Linked DNA regions of Neurospora crassa OR74A. The protein of the gene in region 3 interacts with the protein of the main gene of each other region in a biochemical or structural test. Links are inferred from orthologs where the notes say so. Each region holds a gene or a part of one and is shown on either strand. Other genes may lie near its edges.

Region 1 (3,666 bases), on a different chromosome or scaffold from region 3:
CTCTTGAGAGCGAGAGGGGCGATGAGCGGGAGGAGGTCCTCTGGACTTGGCTACTGGGGGAGGGACAGGTCGGCGGGCGACCGGCGGCGGGGGTGGCTTTGAGCCAGAAGGTCTGTCATCGAGCGTGATGGAAGCCTACAAAGTCAATGTCAGTCAATCGGTACGACATCAATCTGGCTCCATGATACCCCGCAAATGAGGGTTCCTTGTGACTTGTTACAGCCGCAGGTGGAAGGATTGGGGGCAACCTACAAACAGGTCCTCGGCCGTGGCAGACGACCTCTTGTCAAAGCCAGACATTGTGTCGGAAACTGATCGGTTGGTTTGTGCAGTCGGACGAGTGCTGTTGGCAGCTCCAATATCGAGGAAAGGGTTCCGCGAGGTAGGCCTTGGAGGGGGATCGTCGAATGGAGATACTTGAGGTCCTGAAGAGGTGGGAGAGGCGCGGTCACGGTTGCGAAAAGGATTGTTTGAATTGAGCGACAAGCCAGCAGCAGACCGCTGATCTAAATCCCAGGTCAGGGGGAAAACCCAAAGCGTCAGCAAGCCATCAATCAAGGAAGAAAAAGGTGGGTTTAGGGGCAGCGGCACCATGCATGCAAGTGACGCTTGTGATAGGGATATGAAACGGCAATCTCCTCGACATGACACAGCGGACTCAACAGCGGAGCGCACTGATAACCCAGGCAGCGCCTAGGACAGCCAAGAGACCAGCCGAGACCCTCCAATGGAACAGAGATGGACAAAAAAAAACCGGGAAGTGGGAAAAGCGGCAACCTTCACAACATGCCAATGGGTGTGGATCGGCCGTTTTTATTCTGCTGCAATTGAAGGGGGCCGCTAAACAAAGCCATGCAAACGGGGGGCCATGTGTTTGGGAAAGGGGTAGAAGGGGGAGCAGATCGCCCAGGGTCGGGTGCTCTGTGGAAAGATATAAAAGGAAACCAGATACTCACCATTCTGCTCCGACTGGAAAAAAGCCATGGTGGGCTAGCTTGTGATGGTTGGGGGAAGAGGGGGGGGGGGGGGGAGGGAGGGTTGCTGGAATGCAGAGGTGTGCACGTCGTTCGGTTGGTGTTGATGCTGGTGGTTGTTGGATTGCCCGGTTTGTGTGGCCACCAACGCTGGTTTGTAGGTAGGTAGGTCTGAGCTATCTGAGCAGGTGCCGTATGGTGCCGTATCGCTTCCGGATGCGTGCTGCGGGATGCGGACGCGCGGTCTGTGATACACGTCTTTAAAGTGTCTTGCGGTTCTGGGTTGCCGTGCCGTGGGCTCGCGTCATACCAGATAAGAAGCTCGGGTTGCGCACTTGGCTTTGCAAAATGGACGAATTGCCGGGAGGAGGTGATGGATGGTTTGTCCCTGGCCAAGTATAAAAAGAACTGGCAGCCAACACGTCGATCTCAGATGTCCCTTGGAACCTGAATCAGCCAACGGCCGCGGGTTCCGACTGGATGATGAGTCGTGAAGGGCTGTGTTTTGCCACGCAACGCAACGCTGCCACAGCCGGTGTGTGTGTGTTTGTTAATTGGCGCTCGACCTTGAACTCGATCGAACCCGATTGCGCAGGTTCTTGAAGTGGAATGCCGTGAAGGATGGTTCACTACAAATATGCAAGCACTGCTTTCCAAATCGATTGCTGCTGCTCGATCGCGCTTCCTGTTCTGTTGCCGAAGTGGCCGTGGCCTAGCGACACCTTTCAAGCTGAAAAGTCTATCTTTCTCCCTGTTGTTTTCCGACGTCCCTGGGGTTCCGAATCGGTCCCAGTGATGTGACACGGGTGGGCGGTCGGCTTCTTCTTTGAGGCGTGGTTGCGAAAAGCGTATTTGGTTTCGGATCGGCTGACACTGCAAGGTGACAGACGATGGGAGTGCGAGACTTGCTGGGCTCGAGGCTGAGCGGAATCTGGAGCCGGCGGCGCAGGGCTGGGGAGTAGTGGTGGTGTTTGGGATGAATGACGGAGAGAGGGAGCGAAAATAAGAGTAATTAGTTTGGAATGCTTCTTTCTCGTCGACCGGCCAGGATCGATCGCTGTCGCGGGTAATGGTAAGGTGGGTGTAGCAAGGAGGGTCCTGTATTTGTGTACGGCGGGATGTATACGGGGTGGTGCCAGGCCGTGGACGCGATCACGCACAAAGGGAGTGCGAATATCGATCCTTGGTGTGGATGTCCTGTGACAAGCAGTCCGGAGGAGTGCGAACAGAAGGAGAGGAAAAAGGGAGGACCGAGGCGAAGGGATTGTGCTGGCGAGGTCGACTTTGACTTCCCAGCAGTAGTGTCCAGTGCCAGTGGCAGCGTCTTTCGGCGGGCAGATGCGGGCAGAGTGACCGCGAGCGATCCGGAAAAGGAGATTGCAACGGGAATCGACCGACTTCTCTTGGAGAGTCCTGGGGTGGGCAGACGAGGGTTCCCGTGCCGGCTGTTACTTGATAGGCGGAGGCGGTGGGGATGGGCGAGGGGAGCGCAATGAGCAATCCCCAACCGAATTGCCAAAGGGTCTCGCTTCACCCTTTAATGTATCTTATCTTGCCTGTTTGTTTTCTGGATGGAAATGATATCACGGAAAGAGTAAACAACCAGTGTGATGTAGAAGCCGCCTCTGGTGCAAGACCACGAGTAGGTATTAGCTGAGCGCGGCCAGCGCGGTACACAGATCACGGCAATATAAAGAAACGGATGGTCACAGGTCACTTTGCGCAAAGAGCGACAGGTGACCACGGCGGCGCGGGTGGTGACGATGTTTGTTGCGGGGAATTATGGGTTTCTCTTCTTCAGATGTGGAGGAAAAAAGAGAAGAGAAAAAAAAAAGCAAGATGAAGCTACTTTGAACAGGCACAGCTTTGGAGAAAATGACGATCTGTGCAACTCGGACTTCGCTCTGAACGGCGGCAACCGGTTGATCTTTCATGTCAGCTAATATGAGACTAAATGCCCAACTGAAGCATATCTCCAGATTCGTTGTCCCCAAGACGCACCGGGCTCTCATGCCAGGTGCCGTGGTGGCTTCTTTTGCCTGGGCGGCTATACCCCTTTGGGATCATCTCCACGCTTGGCCTGCATGATCCATCTCGCCCTGGCTTCTCCATCAATGCAATGTTCCATCGACGGGCCATCGACGGGAGGCCATCGACACCACTGCACGCCCAGCTGCAAGATGGGCTTTTTTTGGCGGCACTTTTGTCTTGTTGATTTTTCCCGTCCTGTTCTTTTCTCACATGGGCGGCCCGTCTGTCCAAACGACGTTCGGATGGTCTGATGAATGCCACGTGAGTAACATCTGCGTGTTGACATCGGTCCGTCTGCAAGAACAATGTCGTGCTCAGTCCGACTCAATGTTGTCGTTGTATTCCATGGAAGAAAGAGACGGTATGAACCCCAGGTCCCAAGATCCCTAGAGGTAGCGGTCATGGTCAACTCGAGCTCTGAGTGGCCAGCCCCACAACCGCTGCCGGTCGCAATGAAAAAGAAGCACTTGAGCAATAAAACCGAGTTGTGCTTCACGTGGATAAGGTTAGGGCGTTTCCAAACTGGGGATCCCCATCTTGACGAGATCTTGCTGAGCACTCAGTAACTCCAGCCATCGGAGCCGAATGAAATGCAACTCCCACCGAGTCCGAGCTGCTGTTTCAACACGCGCGTATCACCCAAGACTACACCTTCCTACGG
Region 2 (3,751 bases), on a different chromosome or scaffold from region 3:
AAAGCAAACATATCAGCCTGCGAGATAGATGATGTAACGTGTCAATGTCTGACCATCGCCGACCACAGGAATCATGGAACAAAAGGAAACATACCTCGCTGATTTGGGGCACCTTGAAGGGCAAAAGCGCTGCCATTATTACAGGCGCAGGCCAAACGGCCTGTTTAGCTGCTTTGCCTTGGTGCTTGTTCGGTGGGAATTAGAGCGAACGACGGGGGGGGGGACGGGGAATGGAGAATGGGAAATCAATTGGAAGCTCAAGCCAAGAAATGCTGGAGCTCTAAACTTGCCGGCCGGCAATTGCAGAAACGCTGTCACGTCTCCACGTGCACCTTCAGAATGACCAGACCGGCAGGCTGTCAGCCACGTCGGTATCAGCCACGCCGGCACCACCGCCACAACGGATGCCATCGCAGTCTTTGTGTTCACTTGGATGTCGACTGCAACTGAAACTGAGCATCGTTTCAGAAAAGCAAGAGTTTGACATGATCCGATCCTGTCGCTTTGACAAGCTCATGTCCGAATTTTTGTTTTTCTTTTCATTATTTTTAATTTCCTTTTTGTTGCCTTTTATTATCCTCTATCTATACGCAGCAGGATGTGCGCTGCGTGTGCTCGTCAAGCACGAGTATCGTAGACCAAGCCAATCCCACACTGGCAAACTCAAGTGACGCCGCGCTATTCTAGCTAAATAAGACGGTAATATTATAACACACAAGATGCATCCAAGTCCTGAGTCGCTTAGAACTTGTATACCTGATCGGGAGAGTAGCCGAGCTCCTTGAGGATACCGGTCAGCTCGCCCTGGTCCCTGGGGCTCTTCTTGTTGCCGGAGATGGAGTTCATCATGCCGGGTGGGCCGCAGACGAAGATCTTGATATCCTCGTTCTTGGGCTCAGGAAGGACGGTCTTGAGGAGGTCCTTGTTGATGTAGCCCTTGTTACCGGCCCACTCCTTGGGAGGGTTGTCGAGGACGTAGAAAGCGCGGAAGCGCTGGGGGTAGTGGTTCTCGATGGTGGCGAGCTCGTGCTTGAGGAGAACGTCCTCCTCGCTAACGTTGCCGAAGACGAGAGTAACCTTGGTCTTGTCATCGGGGTTGTTGAAGATGGCGCGGATGAGCTGGTACATGGGAGTGATACCGGTGCCGCCAGCAACGAGGGCGATGTGCTTGTGCTTGTTAGCCTCCCAGGGGTACTTGGGAAGAGGGCCCTTGATGTCGAGGCGCTGGCCGGGAGCCATGTCATGGAGGTAGGTGCTCATGGGACCACCCTCGTACTTCTTGACCAGGAGGTCAATGTAGCCCTGGGCACCTGTTGCTCGGACGTTAGTCAACGTACTATCGTGGGAAACCAATGAGTCAATACGAAAATACTTACTCTCGTCGCTGATGGGAGTGTAAGGCCTGAGGACAGCCTTCTCAGCATCGATAGGCTTGAACTTGGTGAGGATGGCGCTGGCAACATGGAGGCCAGACACCATGTCGTCCTCAGGGAGTCTGAAGCGCAGGCGCTTGGTGTTGTGGTTGACCAGCTCAACCTCCTCGAGCTTGAGGCTGAGCCATCCCTGGTCGCCGCCGACGAAGGCCTTCTTGATCTCGCCGGGGGTGATCTTCTCGGTCACCTGCTTAACGCTGGCCTCAGCCTTCTTGGCGGCACCAGCGCCGGAGAAAAAGTAGGCGCCGGCGCCGGCAAGACCAACAGCGGCAGCACCGAGGAGGATGGTGCTGCTGCTGCCACCCTTGGAAGGCTCGGTCGCATAGGAGCGGCGGGTCTGGAAAGACTGTGAAAGGAAAGGAGTTAGTTCGATGACTTCTAGAACGGCTGCTGGTTGTGCTTAGAGTCAATGTGTCAAGTGATGCGCGAAGCTGTCGCGCATGGTGCGCTGCGCGTGCGTCTGCCCCAATTCTGCTCAAGGCGCATTCATGATGCCGTATATGCGTCCGACGACCACCAGAACTGCCCGTGGCGGCAGGATTGTGTACCTCGACGCAGCAACATTTCTCAGAGCAACAGTAAATCCGAACGAAGGAATGGGGTGGCTTACCCTCTTGATGGGGGCGGCAGCCCGGAAGGCGGATCTGGTGCTAGCAACGAACAGACTCATTTTGACATGCAGTGTCTGGAAAGCAAGAATGGAATTGGATGAAGGAGGGGAAGATCGGACGAGGTTCAGGTACGCCCAGTGCAGTCAGTGCAATGCATAGAGGCACTGACTCCTCCCTCCTTTGGGGTCCCCGTACCTTTTTCAATCGCGGGTTCGGAAGCGTGGGGAGCTTGATTCGGGTGGGTGGGGCTTACGTCATGCAGCGATCTCCAGGCGTGATCGAAAGTCTCATGTTGAAAGCCGTCATCGGATTCTTTCCCGCCGGCGAGAGAAACGGGTTTGTCAGCTTCAACCAACTCCGCAACCGTTACTATTCTGAATCCGCATCTTGACACTTTGTGTACTCATATCCAGGGTGGGTTTCTCAGTATACTGCGTACTTACCACCCAGGCTGCCAACAAAAGGATGCGGAGATATCGGTGCAGTTCGGGTGGGCTCGATTAACATGCTACTACTAGTAAGGTCCTAGTCTTTATGCAGTGTACTGATTCTTGATTTGACGCCTGCTCCTAGCACCTTGGCTCACTCATCAATTTCAGAGTCCAAAGGCAGTGGCTAGGGAATATGACGAATGACTTTTGAGCGTTGTGCATTACGTATAGCTTCCGTAGCACCGTATTAATTCCTTTTGTTCGACCAGACCACGCTGTCAGTCTCTGCAATCTGTACACAGAACAACTGCTTGGACAATAAGTGATATCCCGGCTTACTTTAGCTCCTCGTACTCCTGCCTCTCCCCTTCTAGCTCCTCCTCAGCCCTTGATTATCTCGATTGCGCTGCTACCCAATTCAGATGGTGACGGAAAATAACAGGAAGAAGAAGAATGCAAACTCCCAACGAAAGCGCAAAGAGAGCGAGAACAGGAATGATGGATGAGTATGCAAGAAAGTGGACGTCATTAAGTCGCAATGTTCCGTTCTACATCGCTCCCTGATAAAGTATGCTCATGTCAGTAGCCTGAGTCTCCCTATCGTCCATTACATGGGGATTATTCGATCATTATCACCGCTCCCTCTCCAGCCTTATACTCCCTTCGCTTTAAATGACTGAGCCCGCTTTCAGCCTCAGTTTTCAGCAGGACATTGCGTCGTGTCGCATATAGCAATCATCATCACCACCACCCCTGCACATTCCACCTTCATCACCTGTCCGCTTCCGCTGCCGCTTCCCCTGTCTTTTGTGGCTTGAGATCCATCGCGACCTCCGGCTCAGCCTCTTCGCTGATACTCTGGTTTTCTATTGCAGCTTCTTTCGCTGTCTTTTCCAGCCTCGCGCCAAGCAAGGTCTGCAACGTCCCTTGCTCACTACCCCTCCTCTCGTTTCTGCCGACAGTGTCCTGACTGCCGCGGCGCATCAAACCGGCATCATGAAATAAGTTCGTGGGCGTGTTCGCTTGACTGCCACCCCGTTGTCCATGATAGTGGACGACCTGCGGTGGAGCTTGGCCAGCCTGTGTTCCCAAAAGGTGTTGCGGATAGGGATCGAGGTCCTTGCTTGACGTTGAGAAGGTTGATACGACCGGCTGATGGTACTTGTAATCGGACCCAGAGTGGCTGTGTCCATACCCATTGGTATTGGAGCTTGAGATTGGTGTCGAGTGGGTATTGTTGCTGTTGCTGCTGTTATTATTATTGTTGTTGTTGCTG
Region 3 (3,751 bases):
TTGTACTGCGGTACGTTCTGGTCGAGCGACGAAGGCAGACGAGGATCATCCCAGGTCGTTGTCTTGGTATTGTGATCCACGAAGTAGACGCGAGCCGTGTTGGTGAGCCGCATCTCCCAACCACTAGGCAGGGGACCGAGCTGGGACACCGGCTGTTGTTGAATGGTCCCGTTCGTGTTGTTCTGGCCACCGTACATGCGAATGTACTGCTGGCGTCGAGGGTCGACCCAGGTAGTAGTGCGCGTGTTGTGGTCGACAAAGTACGGCCTTCCTTCTGGGGTAAACCTCTGCTCCCAACCAGCAGGTAATTCACCGGTTCCGGGGGTTGTCGCCCCGGTATGCATCATAGTGGCAGCATTGGCGGTGGCGGCAGCTTGCTGCTGCTGTAGGGTGGGGGAATTGGCGCCAGTGCGGTCCTCGGGAAGTGTTCTGTTCTGATGCCGTTGACGCTCGACTTGAGTATTGGCTTCGGCGGTACGGTTTTCGGCCGCCCCTGTGCCAGTTGGCCGATTCCAGCTCGTGGTCCGTGAATTATGATCAACATAATATGTCCTCCCCAAATGATCCTCGCGACGTTCCCAGCCAGCTGGCAATCTTCCCATTGAATCTTCGAAGGGGCTAAGCGTGCTATGGTGCCTGGCTTGCGCCGGAACGAGGGTCGACGGGTTCGTTGGGGCTGTTCCATTTGTCCCGGGGGTCGGGGCTGTCGACGACGACGAAACAGCCAGGCTGGCGGGTCGGCTTGCCAAAGTCATGTTATTGGCGGTTCCATTAGGTCCGGACATGGCTGATGAAGGACGTTCGTTCGCTCTGTCGTTAGAAATAACCGAACTTTGAGGGGTGAGTAGTGATGGTCTGCTCGAAGATGGAGGGGGACCGAGGCGACTCATAGTTGCTGTGAGGTTAGTAGATAGGTTTATGATCAGTTTGCCGTGCACCACAAGGTTGTCGGTCGATTTCTTAAGGTCCCGCGTGAGCATCTGATCTGTGGGTGTGGTGCATGTCAGTCCCAAATCGCGCTGTCAACCTGCAAACACATGTGAATTGCAGTGAAACCTTACCTTCCGCATCGGGAGCCAATTCTATTACGTCCCCTATCCGGACATTGATGACACCGAGGAAACCTTGGTCCTTCTTTTTGAACTTCTTTTGGTCGAACACCTGGACAGCCAGAATGCTGTCCTCATTCACTTTGCTACGTTGTATTAGCCAGCTGGCCCTTGGGCTGTCAAATCTGAGTTAAGGTCGAACCTACAAATCAAAGTGTTCGTTCCAGTATGGGTTTAGGGTACGCTTGGAGACCTGGGTGGTCTTTGTCTGCTCACCGTTAATGGTAGCGACGGCGAACGGGTCGGGAAACCCTATGATGATGATGCGGTTAGCATATGCCACCTGGAAGTGGCTTAGAAGATGCATGACACCTGGCCACGGGGAGAAACATACTGAAGACATCTCGCTTGTATAGACCATCGGCGGCGATGACTAGAGGGGCATGTTAGTACACCGGTTGGTCATCGGACACATTCGTCGCAAAGGGGCTGAGTACTTGTTACGCGGAGATTGGGCTGGCTTTAATCGTGGTGGTTGTTAGCTGGCTGTTCTCTCGCTTATAATCCGCGGTCCCTGAGGGCGACGCAAAGCAGACAAGATGGGTAGATGGAGAGTCCAGTCGTGGGAGAACTTACGCCGGCAGCCCCGAGTCCCGGCTGCTGGTCATTGTTGCAGATGGAGCGCGTCAACAAACTCGCACGCGGGGCTTTAAGTTTTCGTCTCGTTTCTTGGACCAAGCAGAGGCTGGTCGCAATCGGGTCGGGTAGTCGGTCGCTCTCGCTCGTTTGGGATCGAGGACTCGCGGCTGAATGCAGGCGGGGCGGGGATGAAAGGAGGACAAGTCGACGATGGTACAAGCAGGCTGAATGATTGTTACAAAAGGGCCAACTCTCCTTGCGATGGACACTGACGTTGACGAGAACGCGCAGTCACTGGCAACGGAATGGATGCGGCAGGGTGGATGAAATTCTGTAGGTGGCAGTAGGTGGTAGATGGAAGCTAGAGGGACTCTTGAGCGCCCGTAGGTGGTGAGGCTGTGCTGCTCTTGGTAACTCGTGCGTGTGTGGCCAGCCGGCCCCCCCGCTTTGGGTATCTTACGCTGTCAGGTAGTCACGGCGGCGGAAGGCGAACTGCAAGGAAAGGCCAAGCAATCCAAGAGGCCAAGGTTGGACGGCTGTGGCTTGGTAATACTAAGTAATCTCTGTACTAGCAAGGTCGGCAAGGCAGGTCTGATACTTAGGAAACCACTTCTGTGGATCAACCAGCAGGTAGTGTAAACTCGCTCGGATGTCTAGGTTCGTCTGGTAAGGGTACCTTTAGTTAGTAGTGTCGAGGTTGAATGCTGTCGTTGTTTTGTCGCGGTGAAGCTGCTGGAAGTGGCGGGTGGGTGAGCTTGGGTTCGACGGACCAACCCCAAGAAGGTCCAGGTGAAGAGCTCAATGACCTTCACTAAGTTGCAACCGACGGATGAGCCAAAGGATGGGAGGGAAAACGACCGAGAAACCTGGACGTCTTGCGATGTTGCAAAGGTGCAATGGTGCAACGACCCAAGCCAAGAAATTGACAGTCCAAGTTGGATCTAGCATTGGTGAAGAGACAGGGGGAGGTGACAAGACATAATGGTTCAACAGCATTAACGGGAAAGTATGGCTGGCCTAGCATGCTCTGTGCGAGAAGCTTAACTTTTCAGTTAGTAGCTCAGGTATCGCATTAACGAGTGACTACTTTTAGGCCAGGAACTAGTTAGCAGAAGCCTGCAAAGAGCGAGAACTGAAGCGGAAGGTGCGCACAGTGCGGTACTTGACTTCTTCTCTTAAGCAGTTGGTCGGGTCATTCGAGTCCCAGACTCCCAGGGGGCCACATTCACTCCATGCTTGGCACGGCATCCAGATCTCGAGATCAACATCAACAACATCATTGGCACACAAAGAGCAACCTTGGTGTACATGGATCACATAGTCCCGTGTCTTTTCTTAGGAGTTGATGCCCTGTCAGGAAAATATCCCATGGATCACGGCTCAGTCATCGACACAGAGAATTAGAATAGGTAGCTATGCTGGCCTGAATGCCTTTCCATGACTAGGGGTAGGAAAGCACCTCCACCGACCGCCCCAAGCTCCGAGGTCTCTCCAGGAAACGCCAAGATTGTAGTAGAAGCTGTCTGTTCCAAAAACTCTACACAAGAGGTAGCCCAACGATCGGGGATGATGATGATCTTGCGCAGATCTACCAGATATCAAGCCACTACCGAACTTTGAAGAAACCTCCAGAGGCAGTCAATTAGGAAAGTGAACACTTCAAACCTCAACCTTGACAATTCAACGCACAGCACCTCTACATCCCATAACGACGATACACCGCACGGGGTGCAAAAAGGCGTTAGGTCGCTACTTAGCGTATCCCAGTACATGTAGTGTACCCCCGTTGCCGCCGACCGAGACGCTGCTGTTCCAACAATAGCGCATCACCGACATAAACGCCCGTCATTTCCATTTTGATACCCCTCGCGTGCGACGGAACTGCGGGGCGTTACTGCATCTCTGGATTTTCAATTGAGGTTTCTTTTTTTGTTGAGGTGCTTTTGACGATGGGGAGTTCATGGAAGCATAGAGGTACCCATCATATGTACACTAGGTTTGTACACTACACTAGTGGCTGTCATCATTGAACGAAGCGAGACAGCAAATGTGGAGCGCCCTTT

The links.
Region 1: of the proteins of NCU03947 (region 3) and NCU00687, one has a biochemical effect on the other in vitro, tested with the Saccharomyces cerevisiae proteins (2 studies listed by BioGRID). The link is inferred for Neurospora crassa OR74A from reciprocal best matches to the Saccharomyces cerevisiae genes RSP5 and PAL1.
Region 2: the proteins of NCU03947 (region 3) and NCU03112 form a complex in vitro, tested with the Saccharomyces cerevisiae proteins (2 studies listed by BioGRID, with this or other methods). The link is inferred for Neurospora crassa OR74A from reciprocal best matches to the Saccharomyces cerevisiae genes RSP5 and MCR1.

Annotation. Positions count from the first base shown.
Region 1 is NC_026501.1:7,551,010-7,554,675, forward strand, and holds the start of NCU00687 (hypothetical protein), read right to left. Parts: upstream 2,810-3,666; 5' UTR 985-2,809; coding exon 957-984; intron 507-956; coding exon 253-506; intron 136-252; coding exon 1-135. UniProt on the Saccharomyces cerevisiae protein: Involved in the early step of endocytosis.
Region 2 is NC_026501.1:4,598,959-4,602,709, forward strand, and holds NCU03112 (NADH-cytochrome b5 reductase 2), read right to left. Parts: upstream 2,441-3,751; 5' UTR 2,104-2,440; coding exon 2,044-2,103; intron 1,780-2,043; coding exon 1,377-1,779; intron 1,311-1,376; coding exon 742-1,310; 3' UTR 310-741; downstream 1-309. Other genes in the region: NCU03111 (hypothetical protein), read right to left, coding at 1-17, 95-136; NCU03113 (SH3 domain-containing protein), read right to left, coding at 3,247-3,751.
Region 3 is NC_026506.1:2,205,875-2,209,625, reverse strand, and holds the start of NCU03947 (ubiquitin ligase), read right to left. Parts: upstream 2,553-3,751; 5' UTR 1,718-2,552; coding exon 1,686-1,717; intron 1,570-1,685; coding exon 1,547-1,569; intron 1,483-1,546; coding exon 1,444-1,482; intron 1,362-1,443; coding exon 1,256-1,361; intron 1,196-1,255; coding exon 1,062-1,195; intron 986-1,061; coding exon 1-985. UniProt on the Saccharomyces cerevisiae protein: E3 ubiquitin-protein ligase which accepts ubiquitin from an E2 ubiquitin-conjugating enzyme in the form of a thioester and then directly transfers the ubiquitin to targeted substrates.